Linked DNA regions of Rhinolophus ferrumequinum. The protein of the gene in region 1 interacts with the protein of each later gene in a biochemical or structural test. Links are inferred from orthologs where the notes say so. Each region holds a gene or a part of one and is shown in the gene's direction. Other genes may lie near its edges. The genes, in order: ACTA1, GSN and GC.

Evidence for each region.
Region 2: the proteins of ACTA1 (region 1) and GSN are reported together in a solved structure, tested with the Homo sapiens proteins (3 studies listed by BioGRID and IntAct). The link is inferred for Rhinolophus ferrumequinum from reciprocal best matches to the Homo sapiens genes ACTA1 and GSN.
Region 3: the proteins of ACTA1 (region 1) and GC are reported together in a solved structure, tested with the Homo sapiens proteins (2 studies listed by BioGRID and IntAct). The link is inferred for Rhinolophus ferrumequinum from reciprocal best matches to the Homo sapiens genes ACTA1 and GC.

What each region holds. Positions count from the first base shown.
Region 1 is NC_046310.1:26,952,374-26,963,232, forward strand, and holds ACTA1 (actin, alpha skeletal muscle), read left to right. Parts: upstream 1-6,495; 5' UTR 6,496-6,647; intron 6,648-7,453; 5' UTR 7,454-7,465; coding exon 7,466-7,594; intron 7,595-7,700; coding exon 7,701-8,025; intron 8,026-8,167; coding exon 8,168-8,329; intron 8,330-8,420; coding exon 8,421-8,612; intron 8,613-8,706; coding exon 8,707-8,888; intron 8,889-8,957; coding exon 8,958-9,101; 3' UTR 9,102-9,333; downstream 9,334-10,859. UniProt on the Homo sapiens protein: Actins are highly conserved proteins that are involved in various types of cell motility and are ubiquitously expressed in all eukaryotic cells.
Region 2 is NC_046295.1:71,654,837-71,665,723, forward strand, and holds the start of GSN (gelsolin), read left to right. Parts: upstream 1-5,642; 5' UTR 5,643-5,684; coding exon 5,685-5,828; intron 5,829-5,883; exon of another isoform or gene 5,884-5,925; coding exon of another isoform or gene 5,926-5,949; intron 5,950-7,337; coding exon 7,338-7,542; intron 7,543-8,285; coding exon 8,286-8,440; intron 8,441-10,000; exon of another isoform or gene 10,001-10,075; intron 10,076-10,887. UniProt on the Homo sapiens protein: Calcium-regulated, actin-modulating protein that binds to the plus (or barbed) ends of actin monomers or filaments, preventing monomer exchange (end-blocking or capping).
Region 3 is NC_046288.1:29,378,797-29,389,319, reverse strand, and holds the start of GC (vitamin D-binding protein), read left to right. Parts: upstream 1-5,648; 5' UTR 5,649-5,730; coding exon 5,731-5,788; intron 5,789-10,523. UniProt on the Homo sapiens protein: Involved in vitamin D transport and storage, scavenging of extracellular G-actin, enhancement of the chemotactic activity of C5 alpha for neutrophils in inflammation and macrophage activation.

The sequences.
Region 1 (10,859 bases):
GGAGCCTGACGTCCAATCCTTACTTTGAGTTTGTTTTGAAAGCAACTTATGAGTATTATGTCCAGGGACAAATGTAACTTTTTCTAGAACTCATCATAGTTAGAACTCATCATAGTTCCTGAAAATTTGTATAAGCATGTCCTTATAAAAACTTCAGGCCTTAAACATCTAGAAGTCTGTACAGTTTTATAACGTGTTGCCGAGTTTTTATTCTTTATTTGGAAGCTGCTCCGGTTTATGGGAGTGGTCTGGGATTTCAGTTACGTGATATTTTCTGCTCCTTTTTGCCATGTGAAATTCATTAGTTGTCTCCGTACTCAGCACCCTTTCACTCTCACTGTACCCAGGGTTCTGGAGTACTTGTCCCAGTTCTGGCTCCTTGTGTGCCTGCATCTCTTCTGGGCCTCAGTTCCTGTAACTACAATGACGGGATTGCCCTGGGTTGTCTCTGCAGTTGCCGTGACTGGATATCATGCGCTGATGGGATCTGGAGCGATTGGTGTCTGTTTTGATTAGGGCTAGTGGGCGGTGTCTGGTGAGGTTTTGCTAAATTATGGGACTAAAGGACAAAACAGAGTGGGCCTAGATCATGTGAGCTTGGTGACTGATTCATTCACTGGGAAAATTTTAAACTTCTGCATAAACCATAGAGTATTAATGAAAGTATTTTAGTGAATAAAACATTTATGTGGCTTTCTAGCCTACCCATAAGTTGCCATCTAATAAGTTTGTAGTAGTAGCGTTAGTTACCGTCGTTAGCGTGGGGGTTCAGTCAGCTTCCTATACTTCCAGGATGATTTACACCGAACTCCAGCTTTATGGAGAGCTAACATAAAGCTTGTGTAATGCTAGAAAGCACTGCAGGTTTTCTCACTGTGGCAGCTGGTTTCACTAAAAAGTAGTCGTTACCCAGTTTTATCCAGCTTTAAATAAAGACCAGAGAGTGGACAGGGAGCTGCTGGCACTGCCATCCTCGCCCAGTTGAGAGGGCACTCATCATCTTGCTCCAGTAGCTGAAGGTCAAAGTTAAATACGGCACCAAGGGCCCAGTCTCTGGTCTCGGATCCAGCCGGCGCCGTCTCCCTGCGCTCCTTCGAAGCGGCTTCTGTTCACAAGGCAGTGAGGGCGCTGCTTCCACGAGTCACCCGAGGGGAACAGCCAGCCTGCTCCCTTCTGTTCACAGCCTGCATGTTGGCACAGCTTAGGAATATAGTGAGGACTTCTAAGGAGCCAGACGGCCGGGAAGAAGGAGGAAAAGCGAAATTAGGACCAAGATTTTAAATAATTTTCTCTCCAAAATTTTTAAAAATTTGCTTTACAATATAGCCTTTATCAGACAGTCATTGATTTCTAGTTAAATGGAGTGTTGATCACAACAAATTTTAAAGGTGAGCATTTCTAAGAAAGGGGCATTTCTGACTTGCAAAGATCTTTGTTTTCACTTGTCTGAATGTTGTTCAGAAAAACAGTTTGTGGCTCTGAGTCGAAGACTACGGCTGTGTCAGAGAGAGGAGCAGGCGGGTATACCTGTGTGTCAGGTAGAGGAGTGGCCAGGTGTATCTGTGTGTCAGAGAGGAGCGGGCGGGTGTACCTGTGTATCAGGTAGAGAGAGGAGTGGGTGGGGTGTACCTGTGTGTCAGGTAGAGGAGTGGGTGGGGTGTACCTGTGTGTCAGGTAGAGGAGTGGGCAGGTGTACCTGTGTGTCAGAGAGGAGTGGGTGGGTTTACCTGTGTGTGGGTTAGAGCAGTGGGCAGGTGTACCTGTGTGTCAGGTAGAGAGAGGAATGGGCGGTGTACCTATGTGTCAGGTAGAGAGGAGCTGGTGGGGTGTACCTGTGTGTCAGGTAGAGGAGTGGGCAGGTGTACCTGTGTGTCAGAGGAGCAGGGAGGTGTACCTGTGTGTCAGAGAGAGGAGCGGGTGGGTATACCTGTGTGTCAGAGAGAGGAACAGGCAAGTGTACCTGTGTGTCAGAGAGGAGCAGGCAGGTGTACCTGTGTGTCAGGTAGAGAAGTGGGCAGGTGTACCTGTGTGTCAGGTAGAGAGAGGAGCCGGCGGGTGTACCTGTGTGTCAGAGCGAGGAACAGGCAAGTGTACCTATGTGTCAGGAGCAGGCAGGTGTACCTGTGTGTCAGAGGGAGGAGCGGGCGGGTATTCTTGTGTCAGAGGAGTGGGCAGGTGTACTGGTGTGGGCCAGATGTTGTGAGACACAGAACCAAGGTGAGAAGCCACTGGTACCTCTTTGTAGGGACTGTGTTTTTGAAGGAAGCTTTGAAGGATTGTGATTCATTTTTCCTCGGGAGAGCATGCAGGCCGGTGGAAGTTGGTGTGCCGCCAGGGCTTCTTCCAAGCGTGCATCCTGCCATCAGACCTGCTTCTGACTCTGTTCTAATCCAACACTGCACGTTTTCAGGCTGACAGCTACAAATACACAAATATTTAAATAGTTTAGCCTCACCTGCTCATTACTGGACATTTTATTGGGCATTTAATAGCTTTACTATTCTGATGTAAATCTACTCACTAAATACCAAAGTACATTTTTAAAAAACAATCTGTGTAATTCTAAAATTTTAAAAATTCTATAGAAAATGTTAAACCTTTAAAAAAAAAATATGAAAAGAAAGCCATTTAATCCCCGCAGCCCGGAGTAGCTTCAGTTGCCATTTTGAAACAGAACATAGAATGGGAATGTTCAGGCTCTTATATTTTGTGACCTCCTACTGCTGATGTGACACTGAGCATATCTGTGTACCTTAATCCAGGATGGTCAATCCTCACTCACCGTTGACAGGTCCTTGGCACTACCATGAAATAATGTGTAAGGAGACCAATTTTGCCAGAGGCTAATTGATACTAGTAACAGTTCAGTTACTTTGGCATCTTGTCGATGTCATAAATGTCATTCGAGGACCTGCTGTGTTCCTGAGCCATTGTTATCATTCCTCCTTTTTAGATGGTGTTTTCCTGACCGCTCTTCCCCCGCCCCACCTCCCGTAAGTTTAATACAGTCTAACCACAGGTAGACTGTATCTTCTTATGGACCGTGGCCCTTGGAGGCCACAAATCATTGTGATATTTAAGGTTGTTTACCCTCTGAGACCCCCTTTGAGGATACATGCTTTCAGTATTCAAGGCACAATTTCTTAATGGCTGCGTGACACTTGGCCATGTGGCTGTACCATAATTTATTTAACAGCCCTGTCTCTTTCTTAACAATCTTAAAACACTTGGGTTAATGGTTTTGGATTGGTTTGGGTTTTGGCATTTTTCTTTTAATACTAGAATCAACCTTCGTGCGCTCCAAATACATTTAAAATGACATTAACTCTTCCTGTTTGTGATGTTGTGTGTTCGGTGAAGTTATAATGATTTTTAATGTCCTTTGCTAACCGCTCCTACCACCTCACCACTCAGCTCCTCCAAACTCTTAGAAGACACTGCGCCATTCATGGAGAATTCTTCCACGCCAGGATTTAACCTAGTTTTAACCTTCAAATCAGTCTTAAGGAGTAGGTGGCGTCCTCAGCTGAGAATGCTGTCTTCCTGTCCAAGGTCACAGCCAGTCCAAGTGGAGGTACACCAGACAGGCAAGCTTGTCACCAGCTCGTCATACGAATGTGAGAAGGGTGGGGGACAGGGATGGTCAGGCCCCTAGAGGTGGCCCGGAGGCCGAGCGAGAAGCCCGCAGCAGGAGCTCTCAGCCCTCTCCTGACTGCCTTGGGCCGCCTGACCGAGGTGTGTGTCTCGGGACAAGGAGGAGTGCTGTCCTGTGTGCACCTGGGCTGGGTGTTTGTGCCTGGGTGCTGCCAGCCGGCGCCCTCACTGCCCCGTTTGAGAGGGTACTTACAGGTGAAGCCATGACTTCATTGCAGGTGCCTTTGCCTTCTGTTGGAAAAGCTCCCTTGCGGATGTTTCCAGAACTGCAGCAAGTGTTGGGAAGATTAAAGGAAGAGAGGAGCAGCCCTTCCCGCCCTGACCACTGGAGAGGAAGGCTGCCAGGAGGCCTTCCTCACTGCTGCGGGCTGAGTCTTGATCTTCTCACCTTTAAAAGTGGAATGAATAGGACCCATCTTACCTCCAGAGAGTTAGAAGGATAATGGGAACAACATGAAGGCATATCAAGTGTTTTACTGATTCATGTTCAACTTGCTAGGCAACTTGATAGAAAGCTTAGACTGAGCAAGACGAGTGTACAGCTATGTGGATGGAGGGGACAACTGGACACAGCAGGCGTGCGCACACTGATGCCTCGTAGCAAAGGGCCCTGTCAGTATGGAGAGCGGAGGCTGCGCCTGAAAACTTAGAAACAGGAGCTCCGGCAGGCATTCCCTTCACGTGACCTTTGGTAGTGACCGGTCCCAGAAGGATATGCAGGCAGTAACCTACTTATGGGGCGAGAGCACTGGTGTGTTTCCCAAAGGCCGAGGCCAATGGCGATGGCTTTTCCACCTGCTTGTTGGGTCTGCTCCCTAAGCCAATGGGAATTCAAGACCAGACCCGACTGGAAGCAGCCACATGGCTACAGCTCTGAAGAAGCGAGCCCCTGCTGCCAGGAGGGAGCGGATGTCTGCACCCTTCTCAGGGCCCATCTTCCCAAGGTTTGCACACGAAACTCTTAGCTGTCAGTTTTTCATTCACAGCTTTTAGTGTGTGTTTGAATTTAATACACTCTGAGCTTAGAAAAGCTTGCTATAGCAAAAGAGTCACACTGAGCAAGAGTTGTGGAAAATAGTAACAGTCCCGTTCCCTTTAAAATGTCAACAAATTGTTAGGTATTGAGTGAATGACAGCACGTTTCTTCCTATCCTTAAGACCACATTATAAGCTCATATTGTACCTCTGGTGCATTTGCCGGGTTTTTTCTAGCGTCTCCACTACCGACTGACAGGGCAGGACGCCAGGTACTAAAAATGAGAGGTAGCTCTCTGAATTATTGAAATAATTGTAAAGGCTAAATGTGAAAGCATGGTAGCTTTTACCTGAGCCTTCATAACTCACTGTGGGCCCTGTACTAACCTCATTTTGTCATTGACTTGGGTCATTTTTAGGAAATGCTGCCATGATGTGGGCTACAGAGGATTGCGTATGCCTTTATATTGCTCAGATCCCACACCTGTCCTAGGTACCCAGTTCCACTACAAATGGGAATTGCAACTATTGGGGGAACACTTAAGCACATAGAAAGATGAGTGATTCTATTGGGGCTCCTACCACCTCGTTGATGTACTCCCCACTCCACCCCACTCCCGAAAGCATGTCACTGAGTTCATTCCAGAAAATGGTTTCTCCTTGTGCTTTCTACAGCAAGGTTAGAACTGTTCTTGTCCCAGGGGAAATGGGAGGCAGGCACCAACTGGATGACCTGCTGTGACCCTCACTCCACCTTACCCCGAGAAGATCCAAATGCTTCTAGAAAATGTGAAAGGCATATCGCATGTGTCAGGGGTATAAATAGCAGGGCTCCACGGGCTCTGGGGGGTGGTGACTCCCGGGTGGACTGGGACGCAGCCCTGCCTTGGCGAGGGGTCATCCTCTAAGCACAAAGATGAGTTTGTTCAGCCATCTCAGAAGGAAAAACTGCGTCCGTCCTAGAGCGTAATGTCCTCGTCCTCTTATTGAGAGGAAGGACAGGCAAGGAAGGCTTCATTTAGTAAGGGCACCTCACCTCCATGTCGTGGGTTCTGTGTGACACTCGCCTTTCAGCTGCAGGGGGAGGACACTCAGTGACCCCACCAAGGACGTGGGGATAGGGCCCTCAGCTCGGCCCACTGAAACCCGGGCTGCTCAGACCGGCAGGAAGAGAACGACCGATACAATCCACTCCCTTCATGAACCCCCGCCCCCGAACGCACTGCGCGTCACCCGGGCCGACAGCTCCGGTGCCCTGGTTTAATGCCCGGCGCTGCCAGGGCCACCGCCGGGGCCTGTCCCCGGGAGCCCCGCGCCTCCTCCCCGCCACTCCGCCCTCTGCCAGTTGTCTGCCCCGCGACAGCTGCGCGCCGTCCCGCCGCCGGTGGCCCTCTTGGCAGTGGGGGTGGGGGCTGACTTGGATCAGCCCTCTGGACTCCGGGAGCTCAGGGGTGGCGAGGGAGAAATGAGGTTCCCTAGGGGGACACCGGGTGTGACTGCTCCAACCCTCTCAGGCCCCCCACTTGGACACGGCTCCCTCCAACCTGTAGTCGCATGTGAGGGTTTGGTGTCTGAGTGAAGCACCGGGAAGAAGGGGTGAAATGTAGGCGGCGCAGTCCGGAGCGTCCAGTGCGCTCAGAGCGGACAGGTGCAGCGCCGGGAGCGCAGGCGCACAGTCCACTGGGCCGGGTAGGGAGGGGCCGACCCGCCCGGGAAACGCTCCATATACGGCCCGGCCCGCGTTACCTGGGTCCCGGCCAGGCCGCTCCTTCTTTGGTCAGCATAGGGGCCCCGGGCGGGGGCCCAGGCCGCGAACCGGGCGGAGGAGGGGTCTCTAGTGTCCAACACCCAAATATGGCTCGAGAAGGGGAGCGACATTCCTGCGGGCCGGCGTGGGGGTAGCGCCCACGGGCTATATAAAACCTGAACGGGGGACCAACGGCCACCGCAGCGGATAACGCCGAGAGAAGCCTTGCTTCCCTTCCGCGGCGACCAGGGCCCAAGCCGGAGAGCAGCAGGTGTAGCCACCCGCCCAGGTAGGGCGGGAGTGGGGAGGTGATAGGGGAACAGGGTCCAACTGACTCACTTGATCAGCTCCACGTCTGAGCCCTGCGCTTGGGTCCCCAGAGCCACACGCGCCTTAAAGAGGCGGCACCAGACAACGGGCTTTTGAAAACGTCTCCAAATATATCCCGCCTTTAGGCTGTTCTACCTGGCATTTAGTATATGCCCAGGTACATGAAAGGTTTTGTTTTAGTCCTCCCGAGGGCAATTCCCATCTGAGCGCCAGAGCCAAGCGACAGCCAGGGCCACTACTCCCTCGGTTGTGAGTCTGGAATGTCGTGGGGCTCCGGAATAAGCCATTCTTCCCTGGATGGCGCCCACAGCCTTTCCCACGGGCTCCTTCCACCCTCACACTCACCCAGCGAGCCGGTACCCAGGCCCTATCCCTCTAGGTGAGGCCCCCTGAGTGCGGAGGGGTGGGCGCTAGCGCATGGCTCTTGCAGCGGGTGGACTGCAGCGAAGGACACGATCTTGCGCTCAGCAGTCTCAGGGGACACTGTGCCCCTGGGTTCCCGGGGTGGAAAAATGCTCAGTGGGGTCTCGACGACCCTGAGCCCCTCTTCCAGGCACAGCACAGCCCTGAGCCTGGGGAGCGAAGAGTGGGAAGCTAGGAAACGGCCCCTTTGGCCGCTCCCCTGCCCTGATGCTCACGTCTTGGCCTGGTGGTGTCCATAAGTCCCGGGGCACGGAGAACGCAGGAGCCCGCGGGGCCTCCTGCGCTGACGCAGGGTGCGTCTCCACCACCTTCCTGTCCTTGCAGAAACCAAACACCATGTGTGACGAAGACGAGACCACCGCCCTTGTGTGCGACAATGGCTCCGGCCTGGTGAAAGCCGGCTTCGCCGGCGATGACGCCCCTAGGGCTGTGTTCCCGTCCATCGTGGGCCGCCCTCGCCATCAGGTCAGGCTGCGCCTCCGCGGAGGGGGCGGGGCCGGGGTTCCCGCGTGGCCCAGCCGCGCGCTGTCCTGAGCCGCGGTAACGAGTGCGTGGTGTCTTGGGTCCGCAGGGCGTCATGGTGGGTATGGGGCAGAAGGACTCGTACGTGGGCGACGAGGCTCAGAGCAAGAGAGGCATCCTGACCCTGAAGTACCCCATCGAGCACGGCATCATCACCAACTGGGACGACATGGAGAAGATCTGGCACCACACCTTCTACAACGAGCTGCGCGTGGCCCCCGAGGAGCACCCCACCCTGCTCACCGAGGCCCCCCTGAACCCCAAGGCCAACCGCGAGAAAATGACCCAGATCATGTTTGAGACCTTCAACGTGCCCGCCATGTACGTGGCCATCCAGGCCGTGCTGTCCCTCTACGCCTCCGGCCGTACCACCGGTAAGTGCCCGCAGCCGAGCCCCGCCCCGCCCCGCCCCCCGGCGCGCTCCCGCCCGAGAGCCGGCCTGCTGCGCCTGCGCCCGGTGCCCAGGCGTGAGAGGCCGCTCAGTCCCTGCGGGGTTCCCGCCCTGCCCCCGCGCAGGCATCGTGCTAGACTCCGGCGACGGCGTCACCCACAACGTGCCCATCTATGAGGGCTACGCCCTCCCTCACGCCATCATGCGCCTGGACCTGGCGGGCCGCGACCTCACCGACTACCTAATGAAGATCCTCACCGAACGAGGCTACTCCTTCGTGACCACAGGTGCGCGGCCCACGGCACCCTGGGCGGGAGGGGTGCGGCGAGCTCCGGGGCCCCGCACTGAGGGCGCCTCTCCCGTCCCTGTCCCCCGCAGCCGAGCGCGAGATCGTGCGCGACATCAAGGAGAAGCTGTGCTACGTGGCCCTGGACTTCGAGAACGAGATGGCGACGGCCGCCTCCTCCTCCTCCCTGGAGAAGAGCTACGAGCTGCCTGACGGGCAGGTCATCACCATCGGCAACGAGCGCTTCCGCTGCCCGGAGACGCTCTTCCAGCCGTCCTTCATCGGTGAGCCCCGCACGTCCCCGCGCGTCCCCGCCGTGCGTCCCCGCGCGTCCCCGCCGCCCCGCGCGCCTGCTCACATTCGCCCTGCTGCCCCCAGGCATGGAGTCGGCGGGCATCCACGAGACCACCTACAACAGCATCATGAAGTGCGACATCGACATCAGGAAGGACCTGTACGCCAACAACGTCATGTCGGGAGGGACCACCATGTACCCCGGGATCGCCGACCGCATGCAAAAGGAGATCACGGCGCTGGCCCCCAGCACCATGAAGATCAAGGTAGGCGGCAGCCCCGCCCCCGCGCCCCGCGCCCCGCGCCCCGCGCCCACCTGACGCGCTGTCTTGCAGATCATCGCCCCGCCGGAGCGCAAGTACTCGGTGTGGATCGGCGGCTCCATCCTGGCCTCGCTGTCCACCTTCCAGCAGATGTGGATCACCAAGCAGGAGTACGACGAGGCCGGCCCGTCCATCGTGCACCGCAAATGCTTCTAGACCCCGCGCCCTCATAGCGTGCGAATTCTCCCCAGGACGACACACCTGCTCCAGCGCGGCGCAGCCACTGGCTCTCTAACAACTCCGGTTGCTGCGGCCGCAAAGCGACACAGTGTTTATAACGTGTACATACATTAACTTATTTACCTCATTTTGCTATTTTTAAAACAAAGCCCTGTGGAAGGAGATGGGAAACTTGAAGCATTAAACCCCGCCATTCTGTGATGCTGCGTCAAGTTGTTTGTTGCGTTTATTTGCCTGGGCGGGAGCGGCGGGGACAGGGCACGTCGCTGCCACAATGCTCCCGAGCGCACTCCTTACGAGCCCTTAGCTAAGACTGCCCCCTGGGATCACATCCGTTCCCAAACACTGGCGTGGGGTGTCCCGCCTGGGCCCGCTGTGTGCGGGTTCTTCGCCCTGCGCACCGCGCAGCAGTCAGCCAGTTCCGGTTCCCGCCAGCCCATTTCGGGGCGCTGACCGTGGTGCTGGCCCGGAGCGGCCCCGGGAGCTCCTTCCCGCCCCACCTACCGCTGGCTTTCCTCGTTGAGCCAGGCTTCCCCGCGTAATCTCGACAAATCTAAACGAAAGGGCTGTGTTCTGCATTGAATGAACCCGTTTTCATTTGTAAGTGAAGACAACCACTTCTCTTCTCAATTGGGAACTCCTCTGCTTCGTGCCGGGTGACGGAGCGTAAGAAACGCCCCTTTCAGGGAGGGGCCGGGAAGAGCGGCGCCCAGAGGGGGGAGGAGGGCGAGGAAGGGCGTCAGGAGAGCGGTCAGCGTGTGCGGCACTGAGGGCGGCCAGCAAGGAAGCGTCCGGAGGCACGGCAGATGAGACCGGCACTGGACAAAGAGGAGTAAGCACTGTTTTAAAGGCACGAGATATATTAAAGAGTTTGACTTTCTGTGGGACAGCACAGTATATATATATATATGTATATATATATGTATATATGTATATATATATGTATATATGTGTGTATATATATATATATATATAATGTTTCCTAGTCAAGATTCCTAAGAGCAGTGTCCCTAAATAGATTCTGACTCAAAAAAGATAATAAACTCCTTTGAAATAAGTGTATAAGTAAAATCAACAACAGCTATGTTATATGCCACATCATCATAAGTTTATTTCCTCCTTTCATGGCATATTGAAAAGCTTCGGAAATCTTTGAGGCCTCCAAAGTTGGAAAACGGCCAAATCCAGATATCAAGAGAATCAATCATTCAGTAGAAGTCAACATTTTTAATAAAACAAGTATGTGATACTATCGGCACTGAAAACCAGGTATTACTGCCCCTCCCAGGGCTAATTCTAGATTCTAGTCTTTCAGAGGAATGTAGCTTTTATGGCTCATACGTACTAAACAAACACAGATATATTTGAGCAAACACAACACACACACACACACACACACACACACACACACACACACACACACAGCCTGAATAAGGCATGTACCCAGCAGCCTGGAAAAATGTCAGAATTACATGAGTTAGCTAACTTTCATGTTAAACATTTTAAAAAATATGCCGTATTTTGCAGTGTAGCATGTACTCCCGTGTATAATGCGCACCCACGTTTTTGGCCCAAACTTTCAGGGAAAAAACTCTTTTATTTTATTTTTTTAATTCAAATTTTTATTTATTTATATTTAGTTACTTGGTTTTTATATTATAAAGGAATTTTAGCATTTATTTTTTAACATTATGGTACAAGAAATTTTATGTAACAAATAATTACAAAACACAA
Region 2 (10,887 bases), on another chromosome or scaffold:
CAGCTGTTTACAGCCGAGCTGCTGGCCCACCGTGCTTCCTCCCCCAGGAAAGGGGAGACAGACTGTGAAGTGGGCCGTGGCAGGAAGGGTGCTGGGCTCGTACCCATGGCCAAATCTGGCAGCTTCCAGGGCACGGGGTCAGGAAGTGGCGGGGCCTGGCCCCTTCCGAATGTCCTGCCTTGGCTCTCAGCCAAGGTGGGCTTGCCTCCAGAAGCTGGGAAAAGGCCCGTGGCTTTGGTCCCTGGAATAGTCGGCCTCCTAGAGGTGGCTTCAGCCAAACCCCACTGGCCATCTCCCCAAAAGCTGTCCACACCCAGGATAGGCTGGGCCCACACAGAGATCCAGCTGGCCCTTAGCGTGAGCGCTGTCATTGGCACAGGACACAGGCCTCAGCTCTGATCTGGTCACCAAGGGACCCGGGGCCTCGGTCTGCTCTGCCAGGGACTTGCTGTTGATTCTGAGAAGTCCCGGTTTTGTTCTTGGTGTCGTCATCTGCAAAGACAGGATGCCCAGTGAGTCCTGCTAATGAGTCCTGTGCTGCGCAATGGCCCCCAACGCTACTCTTGCTCCAGAGCTCCCAACCACCCTGCAACTGGACACCACTATCCCTGTTTACAAATGAGTCACCCAAGGCTCAGAGGGGGAAGTAACTTGCTCCAGGTGACACAGCCCAGACCTGAACTCTAGAATCTCCCTGTGGAGTCTGTAACCTTTCTCCTGCTCCACTGTTCCCACACGGTGTGCGGATGCTGAATAAAGGCCTCTGCGAAGAAACCAGATAGTTCAAGAAGAAGGGTTCTAACTTTTGGGGAGCTCTTACCGTGTGTCAGGCCCCGTGAGGGGCCTCCTCACTGCCTCGTGAGCTAGGTATCATTCTCCCCGTTTTTTAGATAAGAAAACTGAGTCACTTCAAGGAACTGAGTCTCCCAAATTCTAAAACACACATCCTTTCAGGTCCACGGGGGCTCTCCAGACCTCCCTGCAGCCCTGTCCAGTTTCACTGAGTTTTATTACTTGCTTCTTTGTTTACCATTGTCCCAATTAGCAAAATCCTGGGCCAGAGGGGCGGGTGTTCCCAGGAGGACCCAGAGAACAGCAAACAAACTCCAGGAGGCTTCCCATGAGTGGCCAGCTGCTGGGAAATAAAAAACAACTTTGTTTGAGGTGAAGAGAAAAGAACAGGGCGGCGTCTTCCAGCCCTGGCCAAGGCCTTGTGTACACTGTGGCCAGGGGCGGAGGGTGAGGCCGCCTCCTCCAGGCTCTGGTAACTGCCCTGGGACACCAGAGAGACACGGAGACTAGCCTAAGGTCACAGAGGAGGCAGGGCCGAAGCCCGCGGCCATCCTGGGTCCAACTGCAGGGGAGGATCGTGGGCTGTACGGCTTCTTCCTGTGGCAGACACTGAAAAACTGCCTACTTTGTTCATGGTACCGGGTAGGAGCCAGGAACAACCAAGACCAGGGGACCTCTGGAGTCCAGAGAAGGGCAGGGTTGAGGACATGCTCACAGAGCGAGTGGCAGCAGAGCCAGGCTGCCTCTCAACTCACAGTAACCGTGACTGGCCTGAGTGCCCATGAGTGGCCTAGGATGTAAGTGTCACAGGCCATTGTCCATTCAGTGGCCACAGCCTGAGCTTCTTCCTAAGACATGCCTTTGTCCTGGGTGCTCACACAGGTGTGTGGAGGGCAGAGGGCTTTCCCGGTCCAGCCTCCTGCCCTGGCCTGGGGGGTGTGGTGGGGACGGCTGCCCCAGAGACTGCTGGCTGCCAGGCGTGGCTTGCCTTTGGCTGATTTAGCAACTGCAACCCTTTACCTGGAAAGGACACTTGCTCCCTGTCCAGGCTGGATGGTGCCAGGAGGCCCTGCTTCATCTCCCCAGATAGACCTTAGAGACTAGAGCCAGCCACACTTGTGTCTGAATCTCAGGAATGCCTCCTTCCAGCTGAGTGGCCCTGAGCAAGTGACCGAACCTCCCTGAGTCTGTTTCCCCATCTGTAAAATGGGAATTTGAATGTCTATGTACACTGGTTGCTATGAGGAGACTCAGCCTTGGACCCCCCCTCTCCTTTCCTCCCTCTTTTCTCCCAGAGATGTCTGGGCCCAGAGGAGAGGTGGCATGGTGATGGCAATGCCTCCTTCTGCAGGACAGGTGCTGGACTGTCAGATTCAGAAGTACCTGTACAGATGACCTGGTCCAGTACCATTTTACAGATAAGAACCTTGAGGCTCAGAGACATGTAGGTTCTGGATGTGGTTGCACAGCCAGGATCTGGGAATGCTGGAGCTGGAAATAGCATAGGGACCTATCTCATCTTTTGCAATGGAGACCCCGAGGCTCAGAGAGGGGCAGTGACTTGCCCCAAATCACCCAGGAAGTCAGTGGCAGAGCCAGGCCTAGCAGTGGGGCCTCTTCCTTTCTACCTTGGGATCTTTCTCTCACACCCAAGTCCCCCACTCTCCTGAACCCATATATCCTCTTCCAGGCAGGGAGCAGCATAAGACCATGTTGCCCCCATGAAAGGCTCCACACATCTCTACCAAGTAGAGTTTCCAGGCTGTGGGCTTCCGGAGGGCAGGGCCCAGGGCCCATTCACCAGGTCTCCAATGCTGAGGGCCCAGGCTCCAGAGCTACTCAGATGTGGCAGGCAAAGCTGCAAGGCCTTTGTGACCATTAACCTGAGGGCCAGTGACCCTGGGCTGCTTGTCAGACCCCTGGGCCCAAGACCACACCCTCCGTTAATCACCCAGTGGGGAGGTCAGAGCCACAGTGCTCCAAGAAGGGACTGCTGACGTGGGCCAGCTGCCAGCTGCCAGCTCCACTTCGCTCTTGGGGGCTGGGATGACAGGACATTTCTTTTTCCTACTTGTTTGGATTTTCCAAATTCTCTAATGAGCAGGCATCACTATACATTTTGAAAAGGACTTTTTTCTAGATCAGTGTTTCATTAAAAATCATCAATTGCATTGGATACATATTTGTAAATAGTTTCAACTCCCAGAGCAAGTTTTCATTTTTTTTTTATTTTCAGCAAGAGTATTGAGGTATGATTTACATACCATAACAACTCACCCATTGTAAGCATACAGCGCTCCGATTTTTAGTAGATTTTTCAGTTGTGCAGTCATCCCCATAATCCAGGGTAGAATGTTGTCATCACCCTAAAATGTGTCCTCCTGCTGAGTGCAGTGATCGAGGGGCTCACTGCCGCCTCAGGCTATCACGACAGTATCAGAGGTGGAAATTCTCTGTTCTCATCTCTTCCAAGCAAACCACCTTGACAGTTTGGCATTTGTCCTTCTTGACTTTTGAAGGATGTATCCAAACACAGACACCCTTATAAAAAAGGAGAGGAGTCATACTGCAGTCGTACAATTTGCTTTTTTGCCCTTGGACAGCTCTCCGTGCTTGAGTGCCTACTATGTGCCAGGCACAATCACATCTAGCTCATTGTGTTTTCACAGCTGCAGAGAGGTCCATTGTATGGCATCGCCGTAATTTATTTAACCAGGACATTTGGGTCCTTTCCAGTTTTCCTCAAACAATGCTTCAGTGAACATCCTTGCACATGTATTTTTGTGTTCCTTTGTAAGTAATTCTGAAGAAAGTGGATCTGTTGTTGCCTCGTGTGTTTCGAATTTGGATAATCAAATTGCTACCCAGAGAGGTGAAGCCGGTTTATGCTTCCATCAGAGCATATGACAACTGTGGGTTTTCTTTGTTTATTTGTTTGTTTGTTTTACAACTGTGGGGTTTTTATAATCACCCAAATGCCTAAAGAGAGGGAAGAACTGTCTGAATTTAGGCCTGAACTGGCCCACTGCAGGCTCCCTGGGCCAGGGCCTAGACAGGCAGCCCTGAGAACTTGGCATCTCTCTGTGGCTCCCCACAGACACCCAGATATAAAGTTCAGATTCTTCAGTGTAACGCTCGAGCCCTGTGACTCCTGCCGCCCTCTCCCCGCCTCGGCTCCTCTTTTTCCCTGTGTTTCAGACTGGACCCCTCCTTATCCACTGCTTGCGTTCCTTTGCTTGCCCTTTGTCCCTGCTGTTCCTGCCCTGAAAACGCCTTTTCTTCTTAGTCTCCCTCCTCCTTCTCCTTCAACGCCGTGGTCACAAGTTCCTTTCTCTATGAAGTCTTCTTACTCTCCTTCCGATCTGAATCCTCTGTGTGTGTGTGTTCCCTTACCCCTTTATCTGTCCCACAGACCCACTTCGGTAGAAAGAAGTTGTGGAGGGCCGAGGTCCAATTGCCACTGATTAGATAGAAGCTGGGGCTCCAGGAGGGGCTGGGACAGGGGACCATAGCTGTGGGGAAGGGGACGGGAACTCCCGTTTACCTGGTTGCAGGCCAGGCCATTTTCACACATACACAGAGATTGATTTAGTCCTCAGCAGCTACTGTACCCATTTAGTAGATGAGGAGACAGTCATAGAAAAGGAAAGTAACTTACACACAGTGGTGGGAGTCAGAGCTAGGTCTCCAACTCCCCATTTCTCTTTCCTGACGTCCCTCCAGGCTTTTGGGAGACGGGGAGATCTGGGATGCAAAGAGAACTTGGACATAGATGAGCAGTGTGATGGGAGGGAGGAGAGAGGGATTGGCAGGATTAAGAGAGTCTGAAGAGTCCTTCTCCTAATGCAGTGACTCTGCCTCACGAGTGGGAGGGTGGAGGAACGGGAAGGGAGCCTGTGAGTGGGGACAAGGCTTAAAACCTTGTCTTCCCAGGGGGAGCCAATAGATAGGACCTAGAACTGGAAAAACAAAACAAAACACAAAAACCAAAACAAAAACAACTACAAGATGCAACAGGTTTTGTTATTTAAGACATGAAGGTAAACACTGAAATCATCAGCTAAAGGGGGTAGATAGAAGTGGTTGCCCCTGGGGAGAAGTAACTCTGTACAAATATGTGACTTTAATCTTTGATAAAAAATAAGTTTTAAAAAATGAAAACTGTTGAAAAATAAAAAAGAAAGGCAGTCTTGAATGCTGTAGAAGAACCTGCAACTGCAGGAGTGGAGAGGTCTGCCGGACACCCCCTCCCGCCACACCCCCCCCCCCCCCCCCCCCCCCCCCGCTAAGTTCTGTTTACTCCCGGTCCAGTCTGCCCCTAGCTCCTGGGAGTTGGGCCACCCAGACTGATTGGGTTCAAATCTTGGCTGCACCATGTCCCGGTGTGCAGGTGGCCGGGCTATTCGCGGCAGTTTCCCCCCTCTGTAAAATGGGCCTGCCGATATACCCACTCTGTAAAGGATGTCATGTGTCAACCCTCGTATGAGGCGTGGTGAACCTACAATAAGTCCTGGAGACGTTAGGTGCAGATTGGGTTGGGGTCTTGCGTGGGTCTCACAGGACGCTGAGCTGGGCTCCCTGCCGTTCGTGAATTCTCCCATTTAGCATCCATAGACTTAGCGCCTGCTGTATGCCAGCCCCTGTGCTTGGGCTCTGCCCTGGAGCTGGGGTGAAGGGGCGGCCACGCCCAGTGGGTTTGGTCCGATGGGAACCCCGATGTCTCCAAAATCCAGGCCAGATCCCCGCCCCTCCCGGCCCCGCTGGGGCCCAACCCTGCCCCGCGCCCTCCCTGCAGGGCGTTCCCGGCTTGGATGCGATGGGCGGGTGGCTACTTAAAGTGAGCGACCCGAAGGCGGTGGCTGCTGACTGGGTCTTCTGCTGCCATCGCCGCCATGGCTCCGCACCGCTCTGCGCCCGCCCTGCTTGGCGCGCTGGTCTTGGCGCTGTGCGTGCTGTCGCCGCCGGCCCGTGCGGCCACCGCGTCGCGGGGGGCGGCCCAGACACCCGCATCCCAGGGCCGGGCGTCCGAGGCGCGGGTGAGTGTCCAGGGGGACCGGGGGTTCCCAGAGTAACTCTCTATTGTAAGTTCTTGCAGATACAGCGCTAGGAAAAGGGGAGTAATTCAGGTCTAGAATGGATAAACTGTTTTGTTGCTTTGTAAGTATCTCTTGCTGCTTCCCGGGCTCCCGTTGATGGGGGTGGGAGCCTCGGGGACCTGGCTGTTAACCTCCCTAGAGGCTAACCTCACCTTGGCCGGATTTCTTTTCCCTTGCCGCCTTCTGATGTCTTATCCATCCCTGCTGCCTGATTTCTCCTTTTCCTCATCTGGTTTTTCCTTCCCTCTGCCTGATTTCTCTTCTTCCCTCTTCTTATTGCTTCCATTTCAGATTCCTCTTTCTCATCTGATATTTCCCTCCCTCTCCAATATTTTCTCCCTTTGTTTTGTATGATGTCACCTCTGTGTGCTTATTGTTGTTACTCTTATTTATTCTCCCCTCTCTGATCTCTCCTCTGCCCTGTCTGGTTTTTCCTCTTCTCTCCTGTTTCCTTTTTGCGTTTCTTCACCCCTCTGCCTGAGTTCTCCTTGTCCGGTTTCTCTGACTTCTCCCATCAGGTCTGTCCTCCGGCCAGGTGACCTGTGCCTGCTGATTTCTGCCCTTTGGCCTCAGGCTAACCGTCTCACTCTGCTCCATCTCTAGCCCCGTGCATGTCTGATGGCCTTTCCCCCATTCCTGACCTCCTTATCTCCAACAGGCTCCTGCAGACCCCAGCTGCATCCTCTCTGCCTTTTCTAAGAAATGGGACTTGGGGATGGGGTATTGGGGGGCAGAAGGGAGGAGGCAGACAGCGCAGGAGGCCACTTGGGCTAAGTCATTTAGGCCCTTCTTGGGGATGTGATGGGGACATGGACAGGGCATGGGATATCTTCCCATTTCCAAAGAGCAAAAACAAACAGGCTGTGTGACCGTGGGCCAGTCCCCTCCCCACTTTGGGCCTCAGTTTCCCCATCTGCAGAATGGGGTTGGATGAGGAGCTCTCTGAAGACCCTTCTAGTTCTAAGAGTCACTGAGGATACTGGAAGGGAACAATGCTGAGCTCCTGGGGACCCCCAGCTTTACCACTGCCATCCGAGGGGCTCTTTTCATGGTCCCAGAGCTCGTGCTCTTGGAGCTTGGGGCAATCCCTGCCATGCCATTTTCTGGCTGGGGGTCCTTGGCAGAGTCACTTCACCTCTCTGTGCCTCAGCTGTCCCATCCAATTGGCACTAAGAAGGGAAGGAGAAGGGAGCTGGAGCCCTTTGTCTCCCCATGATTGGAGAACTGATTACTCTCTGGCCAAGGGCAGGGTTTGGAGCCTAAACTCTTCCCTGTTTGCTCACCCCTTGAGACAGGGGTTGTAGAAGGGGTTAGACTTGCCTCGGGGGTGGGGAGAGTCAGAGGCTCAAGTGGGATGCTCTTGGTGCTGGAAACCACCCTCCCTCATGCCCGGGGTCTCTCCCCGCCAGGGCCCCCACCCCTGCTCAGGCTCCGCCCTGTCTCTTCCAGCCCGGCAGCATGGTGGTGGAACACCCCGAGTTCCTCAAGGCCGGAAAGGTGCCTGGTCTGCAGATCTGGCGTGTGGAGAAGTTCGACCTGGTACCTGTACCCCCCAACCTTTACGGAAACTTCTACACAGGCGATGCCTATGTCATCCTGAAGACAGTGCAGCTGCGGAATGGGAACCTGCAGTACGACCTGCACTACTGGCTGGGTGAGGCCCGCCCCCACCCCAGGCCCCACTCCCATAAAGCACAGACCTTTGAGGCATGGTCCCCAGGGGGACGCCCATGGGAGCTAAGTGACTACTGAGCATCAAGTAGGTCCCAGGCCCTTGGCTGGTGATTATGTGTCCCCAAACTCTAGCGCCAGCCTGCCCGAGTTCAGAGCCCAGCCCTGCCCTTTGGAAAGGCACTCAGTCCCTCTGGAAAGGGGACATGATGGTGGCAGTGCCACACTACCTCGAAGGGGTGTTGGGAGGGGTAAACGAGTTAGTGTAGCACTCAGAATTGGGGGTGACTTGGGGACCCTGGACCTGCTCCACAGCTTCCCTGGCCCGTCTCCAGCCATGCCTCAGTTTACCCTTCAGAGTTGGGAGCCTGGAGTCCCTGCCACAGCTCTGTAGTGTGACTGTAAGTCCTGCGCCTGCTGAGCGTCCGTTTCCTAATGTGTGAATTGAGCCCACGCTCCCAGGCCTGACATCACGCTCAGGAGGGCTGAGAGGGAGTGCAGGGCAATGAGGGAGAGAGGTGAGCGGAGGGGAACGTGTTAGAGCTGAGAGGACTCAGAGACCATGGAGTCCGGCCCCCGCCTCCCCCATTATGTAGATGGATTAACTGAGGGGCTTGCCCAGTTTGTACAGCCAGGCCTGCTCCGTGCTGGGGGCTCCAGAGTCCTCCACAGGAGGCTGGGACTACTCTCCGGAAGCCAGGCTTACGCTGCTCGAATGTCGCCTAGGCAATGAGTGTACCCAGGATGAGAGTGGAGCAGCTGCCATCTTCACCGTGCAGCTGGACGACTACCTGAACGGTCGGGCCGTGCAACACCGCGAGGTCCAGGGCTTCGAGTCGGCCACGTTCCTCGGCTACTTCAAGTCTGGCCTCAAATACCAGGTGGGTCCTGGGCGGCAGGGACAAATGCACCAATGGCAGGATACATTCAGGTCCACCCATCTTTCAGTCCTGTGGGGAGATGTCAGAAGACAGGTCAGAGCTCAGCCTTTGGCATTGGCCAGCCCTGGGTTTGAATCCTGGACCCTTCCTAGCTGTGTGACCTTGGACAAATCACAATTCCTCTGTGAGCCTCTGGTTCCTTATCTTAAAATGGAGAGAAGAAAATTCCCCATCGTCTCACAGGGTTTTCTTCCTAGCCCCAGTAGCAAGGTGTAGGCCATGGGTGGAAACCTAGCCCCTCGCTTGCCAGGGGCGTGGACCTAGTCCTGTTCCTGCACCCCTTAGATCTTTGGCCCTGCCGACAGAGTGCCCATGTTAGATATTTGAAAGGGGCGCCCTTGATGACGTTCTTCTTTCTGTTCATTAGAAGAATCCCCCTTGAACTTGAACTTTGAAGAGTCTGAACCAACACAGATCTTTCCCCCAGTCCCCAGCCAGGTGGGGCTGAGCAAAGCCAAGCTAGGAGTCCTGAGAAGCTGTGCCCTAATATGCTGTGTGACTTCTGGCAAGCCACTTGGCCTCCCTGAGCCTCCTTCTCCTCTCTGGTAACACAAGAGCCAGTTGTACCTGCCCTTCAGGCCTGTGGAGAGGATTTGGTAAAGGTGTAGCTGGGAAATGCCTTGCACAGGGCTTGGCTTGGAAGGGCTCAGGAAAAGCTGTAGTTTTGCAGAGCTGGGGTTCTCTTTGGTTAGGATAGGGAGAGGATCACAAGCTTTGATAGCCAGATGGACCTTAATGTCAGAGTCCAAATCTCTTATTTTACGGGATAGAGGGGAACTGAGGCACAGAGAGGTTAAACAACTAGTTCAGGGTTACACAGCAAGTCAGTCCCAGAGCTAAGACCAGAACCCAGATCGCCTGACTCCCAGCATGCTTTCCACTACACCAACCTGCCTCTTAAGCCAAGTCTGTGCCACTGATATGTTGTGTGACTTTATAAAAGTCATCGTCCCTCTCTGGACCTCAGGGTCCTCTGTGGTGACCCTTTCTGCCCAGGTGAGGCACAAGGAATTGGATGATGGGAACATGCTGGTGAGACAGATATGGGCAGGGTGTATCCTGGGAACAGGGCCTCAGCTCTGGGCTGGGCAGAGGTGGACTGGATTCCCGGGAACCTACCAGTGCCCCATGTTTGCTGGTTCACTGGTGCTCACAGCTGCTAATCCTGAGCTGTCCGGCTCTACCTTCTACTTACAAAGCCCCTTCTGGGGCTTCTCCCTTGGTACCTTGGGCCCCTTGGTACCTTGAAGGAGAGGTAAGAAGGTTGGAACCCAGGCCCCTGACCTGGAGAAGGACCAGGCTTTTTTGTAGTTCCTGGAATAGGGAGCAGAAAGAGCACTTGACCAGGAGCCAGAGAGATTAAGGTTTATGGTCCCAAGGCCACTCTTGTAACTGCTTTGAGGCTTTGGACCAGTTGTGTGCTTCTGGGTGTGTGCCCTGACACGTTCCCCATTTGTCATCCATTCAGCAAACATTGATCAATTATATAATAATTGGGGTGGCCGGTTAGCTCAATTGGTTAGAGCGTGGTGCTAAATAACACCAAGGTTGCCGGTTCGATCCCTGCATGGGCCACTGTGAGCTGCGCCTTCCTTAAATAAATAAATAAATAACCCTGCTTATTGTTGCTGTGTGGACAAGTTAAGCAACTTGCACAGCTGGTAAGTGATGGAGCTGGGATTCAAACCTGGATGAAGGGCTAGCATGGAGGTGGTTCAGAGTGGACATTTCTAGGTCTCCTGGTCTCTGATCTTAGCTCAGGTAGAGCCTAGGTCATGTTTAGCAAGGCTCCCCTACCCTCCGGGGATTTTTTCAGGATGTTCTTGGACCAAACTTGGGAATGGTCCAGGGGGCGGGTTCCCAACTTGGGCCTGGATTTGGGACATCAGTTCTGGAAGACCCTGTTCCTGGTGAAAATATGAGGTCCAAGGCCGGTCCTGTTTTCTACCCCCTGCCAAGTCCTCCGGCTGCCCCCGCACTTGGCTGGCCCAGCCCAAGGTTCTGGCCTGGCGCCCTTATCAATTATAGATCCCCAAGGAGCAGAGCTTGTTACGCAAGACTTGTTCCTGTGAAAGCCTGCACCTCAGAGCCAATTCTGTCCTCGGTTGTGAGAAGGGGCAGGGAAGGGACAGGAGATACTAGAGAGGGCTGTCACAGGGCCTGGCTCATCTTGTTCTGCAACCTCCAACTCCTTTTAAAAGTCACTGCACTTTTCAGAATCCGTTGATCCCGTCCCAGTCAACCCCCGCCCCCCACCCCTCCTTCTTTTCCTCCTTCACTCTCTACTCTCAGACAGAACCCTAGGGACCCCTCTGGGTTGAGTTATTTGAAACCCTTTATTCAAACAATCAAGGCTGGGCTGGGCTGATCCTAGATGGGAAACTCAC
Region 3 (10,523 bases), on another chromosome or scaffold:
AATGAATGAATGTTATTAATGCAAGTCCAATTACTATAATTAACAATACAACAAAGAATATGTTATGAACAACATGTTACTATACTTAGACCACATAACTACAGATTCGGTAGTTATGGTGGTTTTTTTTAAAGGCAGGCTTTTTATTCTATTTATTCTTCTGACTTGTTTTATCAGTTAACATTTGTAGAATTGAAAATTTTAACACACTTCTCATAAATTAGCCACGATTGAGAAAAACAACGAATTCTCAAAAAACAGAAGTTATATGAGATCTAACAATTATGTTCGTGAACTTGTTGTATGATGTTACTAACCCTTTTGATATCAGAGGGATTATTCATTATGAATTTATACCAGCTGAACAAACAGTTAACCAAATTTACTATTTGGAAGTGCTGAAAAGGCTGTGTAAAACAGTTAGGCAACCTGAACTTTTCACCAACAATTCCTGGCTCTTGCATCACGACAATGCACCAGCTCACACAGCACTGTCTGTGAGGGAGTTTTTAGCCAGTAAACAAATAACTGTACTGGAATACCTTCCCTACTCATCTGATCTGGCCCCCAATGACTTCTTTCTTTACCTGAAGATAAAGGAAATATTGAAAGAAAGACATTTTGATGACATTCAGGACATCAACGGTAGTACAACAATAGCTCTGATGGCCATTCCAGCGAGAATTCGAAAATTGCTTTGAAGGGTGGACTAGGCACTAGCATCCGTGCATAGCTTCCCAAAGGGAGTACTTTGAAGGTGACCATGGTGATATTCAGCAATGACATGTATAGCACTTTTTCTAGGATGAGTTCCTGAACTTAATTGTCATACCTTGTATTATGTGTGTGTGTTGTGAATTGAATGTTTGTGTTTGGCTAGATGCTTTAAGTAAATTTTTCCATTTAAACTGTTATTTTTAAACTCATTGTATTATTGTACTAATTGAGGTTAATTAGTAGAGCTTGCATACAAATGTTTACCTACAACCAAAATTCATACTTTCTTTACTGTTCTAAGAGATTGCTTATTCCACCAGGAGAAAGTCACCTAACTTATCTACCAATGGTGATGATCTGAACTAATTCAGTTAGTGACAAACACTCTGGTCTTGGAGTCAGATTCTATATTCTAATTTCAAAGAATTTCAAGTACCATTGGTAGGCTCTGAACTTCAACTTCCTTATTTGTAAAATTTATGAAATTTATAATGTTCTGCCTACCAATGCATAAATTGATGTCCAGAGCAAATGAGTAAGTATAGGAAAGTGAATATGAACTGTAAAGCAATATTAAAGAATATGATATTGTTGTATTAGTACTCAGCTCTATGTTCATACTGTCAAGAAGACTTTTTTTTTTAATAGTTATAACTTTGCACCAAATTTTCTTTGTGGAAATGTAGTCAAGTCCCAGATATCTGAAGATGACAAATAATATATATAAATAGAATAACAGAAATATCCACTCTATTCTTTTATATTACACTCTATTCTTTTATATTTAACTGGATTCCTTTTTCAGAGTGCATCTTCATATAGAATTCACATGGCAGTAACTTGAAAAAAGCAAAAAAAGTCGAAATATGTGGTTATCAATCAATCATTGATTATGCATTAACCTCCTGTTTAAAATCTACATATTTGAAATGAAAATCAGGAGTGAACTTTCTAATAGATAATCAGAGATTCCATTTAAAAAAAAAAAAGAAAAACAAGGTTGGGAGTAGAATGAGAATAAAAATTTCTGTTACCAGGAAACAACTTGCCCAGTTCTTTTTATCCCCAACCAATTAGTTTAAGTATGACATAAAACTGAGCTCATCAAATCCCTTTATATTAATATCTTTGTCATACATTTTAGAATTCCAAATGGTGGTTTGACTGAATTGGGTAGCAATTTAACTGTTATCCAATCAATACAATCAAAAGGATGTCTGAGTCACACTAAACTTTAGGAGTATCAAGAATGAGAAAAATAATGTGAAAACAACTTAAGTTATAGGGAACTTAAAAATAATTAAGTCATACAAAATATCAAATTTTCACATTACTTGTCCAGTGTATAGTGAAAAAATTACTACATATGCAAAGAAATAGAAAAATGTCACCCATAATCAAGATAAAAACAAATCAATAGAAACCAACTCTGAGATGGCTCAAACACAGTACGTACATAGTCGACAAAGACTACAAGGAAACATTTATTAATTTGGAAAAAGATTTAAAGGACAATGTGTTCGAAGAATTAGAAATAAACATATGAGTAGTCTTAATGAATAAACAGAATCTCAGCAGCAAAATAGAACCTATTAAAAAAATCAAATAGAAATTCTTTGAATGAGATTAGAGATAGAAGAATAATGAACTTGAGACTAATGAACAAGAATTATCCAAACTGAAGAACAGAGAGAAGAAATTGAGTAGAGCCTCAGAAATGTGTAGGATAATATCAAATAGTCTGATACACCATTGGGAGCTTGAGTATTTAAAGTCCCCAAGAGAAAAGAGCTAGAATGTGTCAGAAAAGTACTTCAAAAATAACGGCTGAACATTTCATATATTTGGTAAAAAAGAAAAAAAAAAGAAAGAAAGAAAAACACATTGACTTATACATAGATACAAGAAGTTTAATGCACGCTTATCAAGATAAATATGAAAAGAGCAACACTATGTACAGAGGATAACTACTGAAAACCAAAGGTAAAGTGATAATTTTAGATGCAATCAGGAAAAACGAAGACACTACATACAGGACAGCAATAGTATAATGTAAAAGTTTCCAAGCAGCCTTGGCAGGAAGAGAAAAATGTGATAGAGAAAGAACTAAAGATGGACTTTGTCTCACAATTTTGCCTACAACTAGCTTTACTGAGGGAAAATCCTAATTTTTTTCTGAAGTTAATGGCAAGATAAAGAAGAAGGGAAACTACTTCCAATCAGTTCTTTATGGGCAAAACAACTCCTGTAAAATTCCATTGCTTCAATATTTAATGAATAATTTTTAAAAATATTTCTGTAATAAATTTCTGAGTTGCTGTAACTATTGCTGTAACAGTGTCAGAAGATTTGCTTCATATTTTTCACCCTTTTTCCCCATCTGACTTATTTAGAGCAACCATTGCAACATGAGACCTCTCATTTAAGCCAATTACGATTCTTTCTTTCCAGTTTTAGAATCAATGTAAGCAATCAACATTTGAAAGATTAAGTAAAATTACATAAATAAGACTGAGAAAAGGTTCATGTATTTAGCTCCTAGCATGTGAGTGCCAATTTTCAGTTAGAAAAAGATAAACTCTGCCAAAAGAATGCATTTGGCAGCTAGTGTAGAGATTTCTCAAGAGAACACCTAAATGAGATGTTGCAATTCTTGCTACATGTAGTTTATCATTAAACAAAAGTGGTTGATGTAATTGCAAAAGCAAAGATTTTTTTTTAAAAAATGAAAGAACAGGTTGGTCTTAAGCTCTGTAGCAAATCATAGGAAACAAGTAGCTGTATGTTTGAATGAATTAATCATCAGAAGATGACTGAAATACCATTAAATTAAAAACTACAAAAGTACATATGTTGTATTATCTTAAATAAAGATGAAAACTATAATGTGTTAACAGTTATTCTCTGAATTCTGGGTTTGTCAATTATTTTCAAACTCTTTGGCACTCTTTTAGAGTTTCTTTGTTTCCAAATAATTTACAGTAAGACTAAAGCATTTTCTAATTAACTTACAAAGAAAACTAGGAGTTTAACCAAAGGAAAAGTTTAGATTTGTGGTAGGCAGAAAGTTAATTTTTGAACAAGACTATCTTCCCATATTCCCTCCAACAATGTTCACACTATCTACTAATTTCCTTTACCACATGGGTTTCCATTGGCCTTACACAGATATCTCTTGCTTTGTTATCTTTTTTCCAACTAACTGGACTCTATTTTCAGAACCTAACACCCAAGTATTTTCAATATAGATGGAGGATCTGACAAAAAATGTAACTGCTTAGTGCAGCTTATTAAGATTTTGATGGAATTTGCCCATGCAGTTAGTCCTTAGCTACTAAATTGATAATGGAATTCTATATCACTTATCTGTGATAGTTCTAAACCTAGGATACAGGGCTGGTTTTAAATTTTCCACTGAGTTCCAGGCCTCATTTATTCCAATGATCTTTTCAGATATTATAAATTTGAAAAGCCAGTGGAGAAAGTGATAATAGCTAGAATATGATGAATAGAAAACATTAAGGCATGGTACTATGTGGTTGATGTTATGGTAAACCCTACACATGAATTATCTTAATTAAACTCACAACAATCTTATGACAAAAGTACTACGAGTTATCACCACTTTGCATATGAGAAAAATGAGACTTAAAGAGACAAAATAACTTCCCAAGATTATGTAGTCAATAAGCGCTGAGTAGGGATTTGATTCTAGAGCTTGCATACCCAACCCCTACCTAATCCTGCCTTCCTGAAAAGAGGGCTATTATAAGAACCAGGAGCTGACTTGATTCCAATGAATGGTAACTACTTGTGCCTCTCTGGGCAAATCACAGAATCTGTCTAGGACTTCGTTTCCTCTTCTGTAAATTGAAGATGTAGAATTCCATGCTGTATAAGGCCACTATGAGATCTCAAATTATAGTATCCTGAAATAAACTAGTGGTATGGTATTAATAGAAAGAAGTTTAAATTAGGTGTAGAAAGTCCAAGATAACTTTTGTGATTTGGGGACAGTCATTTAACCTCTCTAGTTATCTCCCTCAAGAAGAGGTTATTATATATATATATGTGTGTGTATATGCATTTATATGTGTGTGTGTGTGTGTGTGTGTGTGTGTGAGCGCGCGCGCACTCACGTGCTTGTGTCTGTATCTCAGTAGCTTCAAAAAATTTAATATAGAACCTAAATATAAAGTACTATCCCATCCCCTTCAATACATTTTATAGCATTGAATTATGGATTTGAGCAATTGTGATAAATTGGCTTCTCACTCTTGTTTTTTCCCTCATCACTTAAAAAAAACTAGTCTGATTTAGTGGTTACCAGAGGGTAAGGGGGTTGGGGGGTAGGAGATGAGGGTAAGGGGGATCAAATATATGATGATGGAAGGAGAACTGATTCTGGGTGGTGAACACACAATGTAATTTATAGATGATGTGATACAGAATTATACACCTGAAATCTATGTAATTTTACTAACAATTGTCACCCCAATAAATTAAAAAAAAAACACACAAAAAAAACCTAGCCTGCAGTATTTTAAGGTAATCCTTATTTGCAGTAGGTTGAAACAGAGAAGGAAGAAGGGAGGGAAGGAGAAACACAGAAACCTCCAAGTTTCTATTTATGTATGAGAAAGGTAGGGAATGTCCAAAAAAGACCTATAAAGGACAGGCAGGATGTACCCACTAATAAATTAAATAAACTTTAGTAAAAAGCAGCAGTGGAAAATAATCTGTGTATACTCTGACTCTTTTCAAGTTTGACAAAGTTAATGATTAAAGTCTCCCAGATTTGTCACTGCATTTTCCCCAGGGTGTTTATTTGCCTTGATTGATATTATTTTATCTCTGTGGGCCAAGGATGACTGCCCTTTCTTCTGTGTAGAGATTAATAATTGATTAGTTCATAGTTGGGAAATAGTAAAAGGGAATTGATTACTTTGGGCTGCATTTTTCACTGGGTAACCTGCAGGAAACAGGAGTGCTGCAGGACTTGCTGGCAGGAAAATGAAGAAGGTGCCGTTTCTCCTGCTGGCTGTAGCATTTGTGCATGCTCTAGAGAGAGGTAAGACTTCCAGTGGTGTGACTATGTATGAGAACTCTTACTAGTCTAATTTTCTGTTACCGTTTTAAAAAATTATACAAATGGTGATAAACAAGAGAATTTGTGAATATGTTGGGGAGAAAGGGAAGGATCAGAGAGACTCGTGTCAGAGCTCAAATATGGTATGTAGCCTTCAATTGGAATAGCCAAGAAATCAAGTTAATCTCATGAAAGAAAGAAAAATTATATAATTTGTCAGTTAGCCTTCCTTGCTTTTTTGAAACCTAGAGAGAATGGTTTGAAATTAGAAATATTTTAGTTGTTAAAAGATAATGCAAATGGAGTCTATGAAACATCACTGAGCATTTTTTCAGACTTCAAATATTTATCGCCATTGAAAGCATAATATACCATATCAATGATGCATGAGGTTAACTGAGATTTCTTTGATCCTCTTCAAGGAATCCTTCCTGTATGTGTAATATTTGGAAATGCATTATCGTTTTTAAAATATCCCAAATAAAATAATTCAATAGCTATGAAACTATAAAAGATAATTGAGCTATATTTTTTATTAAGATTATTCTTCAAATGGCATCTCCATCTTTTAGCAATGTTTAAAACCTTTTTAAATGATACAGGCTGAAATTATGCATATAACTTTGTGGAAAGTTCCCATGCTGCAAAATTTATAATCAGTTTCAATTTACTTTCCTGGCTGATTCTTTAATGCTTCTAAGGGAATCTGCATTCATCCTGCTTTGAAAAATTAACTTTCATTTAGTGCTTTCAGTTAAGAATCTCATCCAAATCATACATTAGTATTCATATTAATAATGTATTTAACCATTGGAATAAACTACGTGTACTACGTCTGTATCAGAAATTATTGGTATTAACTATAACATGAATAATCTTACTGCGGACATTTTCTTATTCTTTTTACTTTCACTTTTCCTTGATCTTACTTTTATCATTCAAATAATTTAAAATTTTGTCTTATTCACCCATAGATTCTTAAATAAGCTATGGATCTTTCTTTATGTAAGACTACAAAGTCTGAGATATGGGGTATAGATAAGTAAAATAAATTGTGTCCCTTACAAGACCTCTGAATACGCCAAGACCCAAGAAACCCTACAAGCTTACTCTTTTGTCCAAGGTTTCCCTGGAGCAGATATGAACCTGAAAAATCCTACTGAAGCAGGTTTAGTTCAGAATATCCAAAACAGAGAAGGTCCAGTGCTGGAATTATATGTGGACTCCATAATGTGGGACATGAGTGACCATTTTGGACTACGGACTCAATAACTGTACATTGGTCTCACCTCGAAGAGTTACGGTGCCCTTTGAAAACTAGCAGATTATTCTGCAACCTCTGTTTCGACATCCTTCTGTATTTTCTGGCTCTGATGAAATGAATGCTAAAAACCTCAAGCCAGCTGCCTTAAAAGTCTAAACTTCACAATGAACTTCAAATTACCCATGTGCCATAGGTCTGATGATATTATCTGAGACAGACATTTATAAGCAACAAATATTCAACATTTGGAAATGATGCTCCTGACCCATCAGTCCTCTGTTCTATAAGGCCTGAGCATGACCCAAATACCAAGTTAGTGGTTCACTTGGAAGCTAGGCATGTGCCCTCTGGCAGGAAGTTACAAAGTATATGGATAAAGGAGTTGAGAGAGCTTTGGATGGTGAGGGATTGGTTTGGGCTGCAGCTCTCTCTGCCTGTTACAGTTCTGGAGAGCTAACTGATCGTCTACAGCATTTGTTTAGAACACCTCTTCCAAAGTATATTTCACTCAAGACTTGTCTTGGAAAAAACTTTATATGGCCAAACACATTTAAGAAATAAAACATGCATTAGTCCTTCTTGGTTAGTTCACAATCAATGCCTTTATTGTCCCCAAGGTTTTGTCTGAGCAGTCCTACCAGAAAGAAACCTTATTTAACTCAGAATTCCCCAAGCACACTGGCTTTTACCTAAAATGCCAAGACCCCATGAAAGTATTCTTTGAAAATTGACACTGCTGTCGCTCAACATGAACATCAACGCCAGTTAGGCCAGTCCTCTTTAATCAAGCCGCCCTGGGAATTCAGTTCACATCTGGGGAGAGAAGGGCTTATCAAATGTGCCAAATCTAGGTGGTGTCATAAGGAAACATCCACTTTAGCTACCCCTTGAAAGGCAAAAAGGCAGTGTTTGCCAGTTGCCTCCCCTTGGCTTCTTTCCCCAGGACTGAAATGTAAGTAGCACTAATCTGCAATGTATCTTTCTCTCCCCCCCCAAAAAAAAAAAAAACACAAGTAACAAAGACTGCTGACACAACTATACAATTATCAAAGAAATAATGCTAACAGGAAATAAACCATTATAATTTATACAAGCTGTTGGCAAGAATAGGACATTTACTATGAACATTTTCATTTTTGCTTTAAGCACTTCATTCTCAGCATACAGTTTTACTAAATAATACCCAACAGAAAGAAAGCCCCCTTTGGGTTGGTGGATGAGCTATGTTTCCTTCTTCCACTTGCTTGTCAAAACAGCCGTAGACAATGTGGGTTATCCCAATCTCCCAAACCACCACTGAATCACTGTTTCTCTTTTTTACAAGTTTCCTGCCCCTTCATCAGTTACCACTTGAAAAACAAAGCTGTCCTAAGTTTGGTTCAGGAACACAGCTGTACAGAATGCCAGAGAGAAATAACTTAGGATAAGTAGATATCCCCTCTATTTTTCCAAATAACTTTATAAGCTTTCTGTAAAACCTACATATGATTATTGAGGAGAAGACGTAGAATGTGAGCACTACATGATGAAAAGAAGACAGCCACGTAAAGATCTAGAAGTGAGTTTGAAGTGGGAGGAACTCAGGTGTAAAAGTCCTGAGCTAAGAACAAACATGGTCCAATCCAAGTGCACAAAGAATCCAGAGTAAAAGCATAAAAGAGTCTTAGCCAAGAGGGGAAAGGAAAAGGAGCCAAAGCCAGAAAAGTAGCTAACTTCGTCATCAAAAGCAATGCTAACCTTCCTGGACATCAATAACAATATCACATTTCATCGTTGCAATGTGCAATGCCTGGTGTGCACTCATCAACTTGTGTGTGGTGTAGGGATAAGTGTGCACATTCTTTAAAAGGCCACAGATGAATCGATATAGGAAGGAGATAAAGAAATCCCTAAAAGGAATCGATAACTCTCTCCTCTACTATCTATGATAGTATCCAGTATCCAGTATTAATTCTGCCTACTGCAACGTTTCTTTCTCCTATTTTCCCCCAGCTCACCGTGCCGCACCCACGCTGTCCTCCACACTATCCCATACTCTATGAACTCTGTACCTCAGGGCTTCGTACTAGTCCTCCCTCCTCTTAGATCACTGATCCCCCTGATAATCCATCTAGCTCCCTTCCTCACCTCCTTCTGGTGTTTGCTCCAACTTCATGTACTGAGAAGGCTTCCTTGACTAACCTATCTCAAATAGCACGTACCACTCCATTTTTCTCTATTCCTGTACCATGCCTTTTTTTTTTAGCATTCATCACCTTACCTTATCACCAGCTGTTCATTTGTTTTTTGTAATGAATTAAAATGTAAACTGTAAAATGTAGAATTCTGGCAGAACCAGAATTTTATGCTAATTAGTTGGGTTTACAAAGATAATGCTATCACTTGCATTGCTGCCTTTATTTGAGTTACCTCAGCTAAAATCTTTTGCTACTGTACGACCAAGTATAAGAGGGAAATACCTGTCACTATCACCAGTGTAGGGGGAATTAAGTGAAACTCATGCTGCTTACTATGAATCATCCATAACTGGTCCAAACGCCACATCATCCCTATCCCGTGAAACTAACTCTGTCTTCTAACTTCCCTATTTTCCTGACACCATCATATCTGGGTTATTTATGTTCAATCCTATAAAGCCTTCTTGGACTTCTTTCTTCATCTTATTATCCATATTCAATCATTTCCACATTCTATAAAATTCAGCCTTGAAATGGCTCGGACTTTGTACATAGCGTTCTAATGTAGAAACTTCCTCAGTGTTCCTTTTGTATCTCCCCTTTACCTTCCTCATATGCCTGGTTCTCGGTCTGTGAACACCGCCTCTCAAACCTACTAGGTTTCCATTTACATTTCCATACACTGTCCTAGTCCAGGCCTTTGTTCCCCTTTACCTGACTATTATGTCTTCCTAACCAAATCCCTGCCTCCCACCCTTTGCCCAACTAATTATTATTAAAATACAATATAAAACTTGACATGATGTAATAAATGGAGTCCAAAAATGAATTGATTACATTAAAAAATCAGAATCACCATTGTGAGATTAATGAAATAATGGGTTTGAGTATGTATAGCTGGCTGGTGAGATTCTAGGGATCAAGCTGTCTGATATGAATCCACCCCAATTCTAATCTCTGTTTAGAGTCACCTGATGGTGGGTGTGATCTCAGGCTTAAATATTAATGAGTGTGTGGTAGGCAGAATGAGGGCCCTCCAAAAATGTCCACATCCTAATGCCCAGAAACTGTGGATAGGATAGGTTACATCACAAAAGAGAATTAAAGTTGCAGATGGAAGAATGTTTGCTAATCAGCTGAACTTAAAGTAGAAAAACAATTGGGATTGTCTGGGTGGGACCAATGGAATCACAAGGATCTTTAAGGTGGAAGAGAGAAGCAGAAAAGAGGTGACAAAAAAAAAAAGGCACAGAGAGATACAAAATTGCTGGCTTAG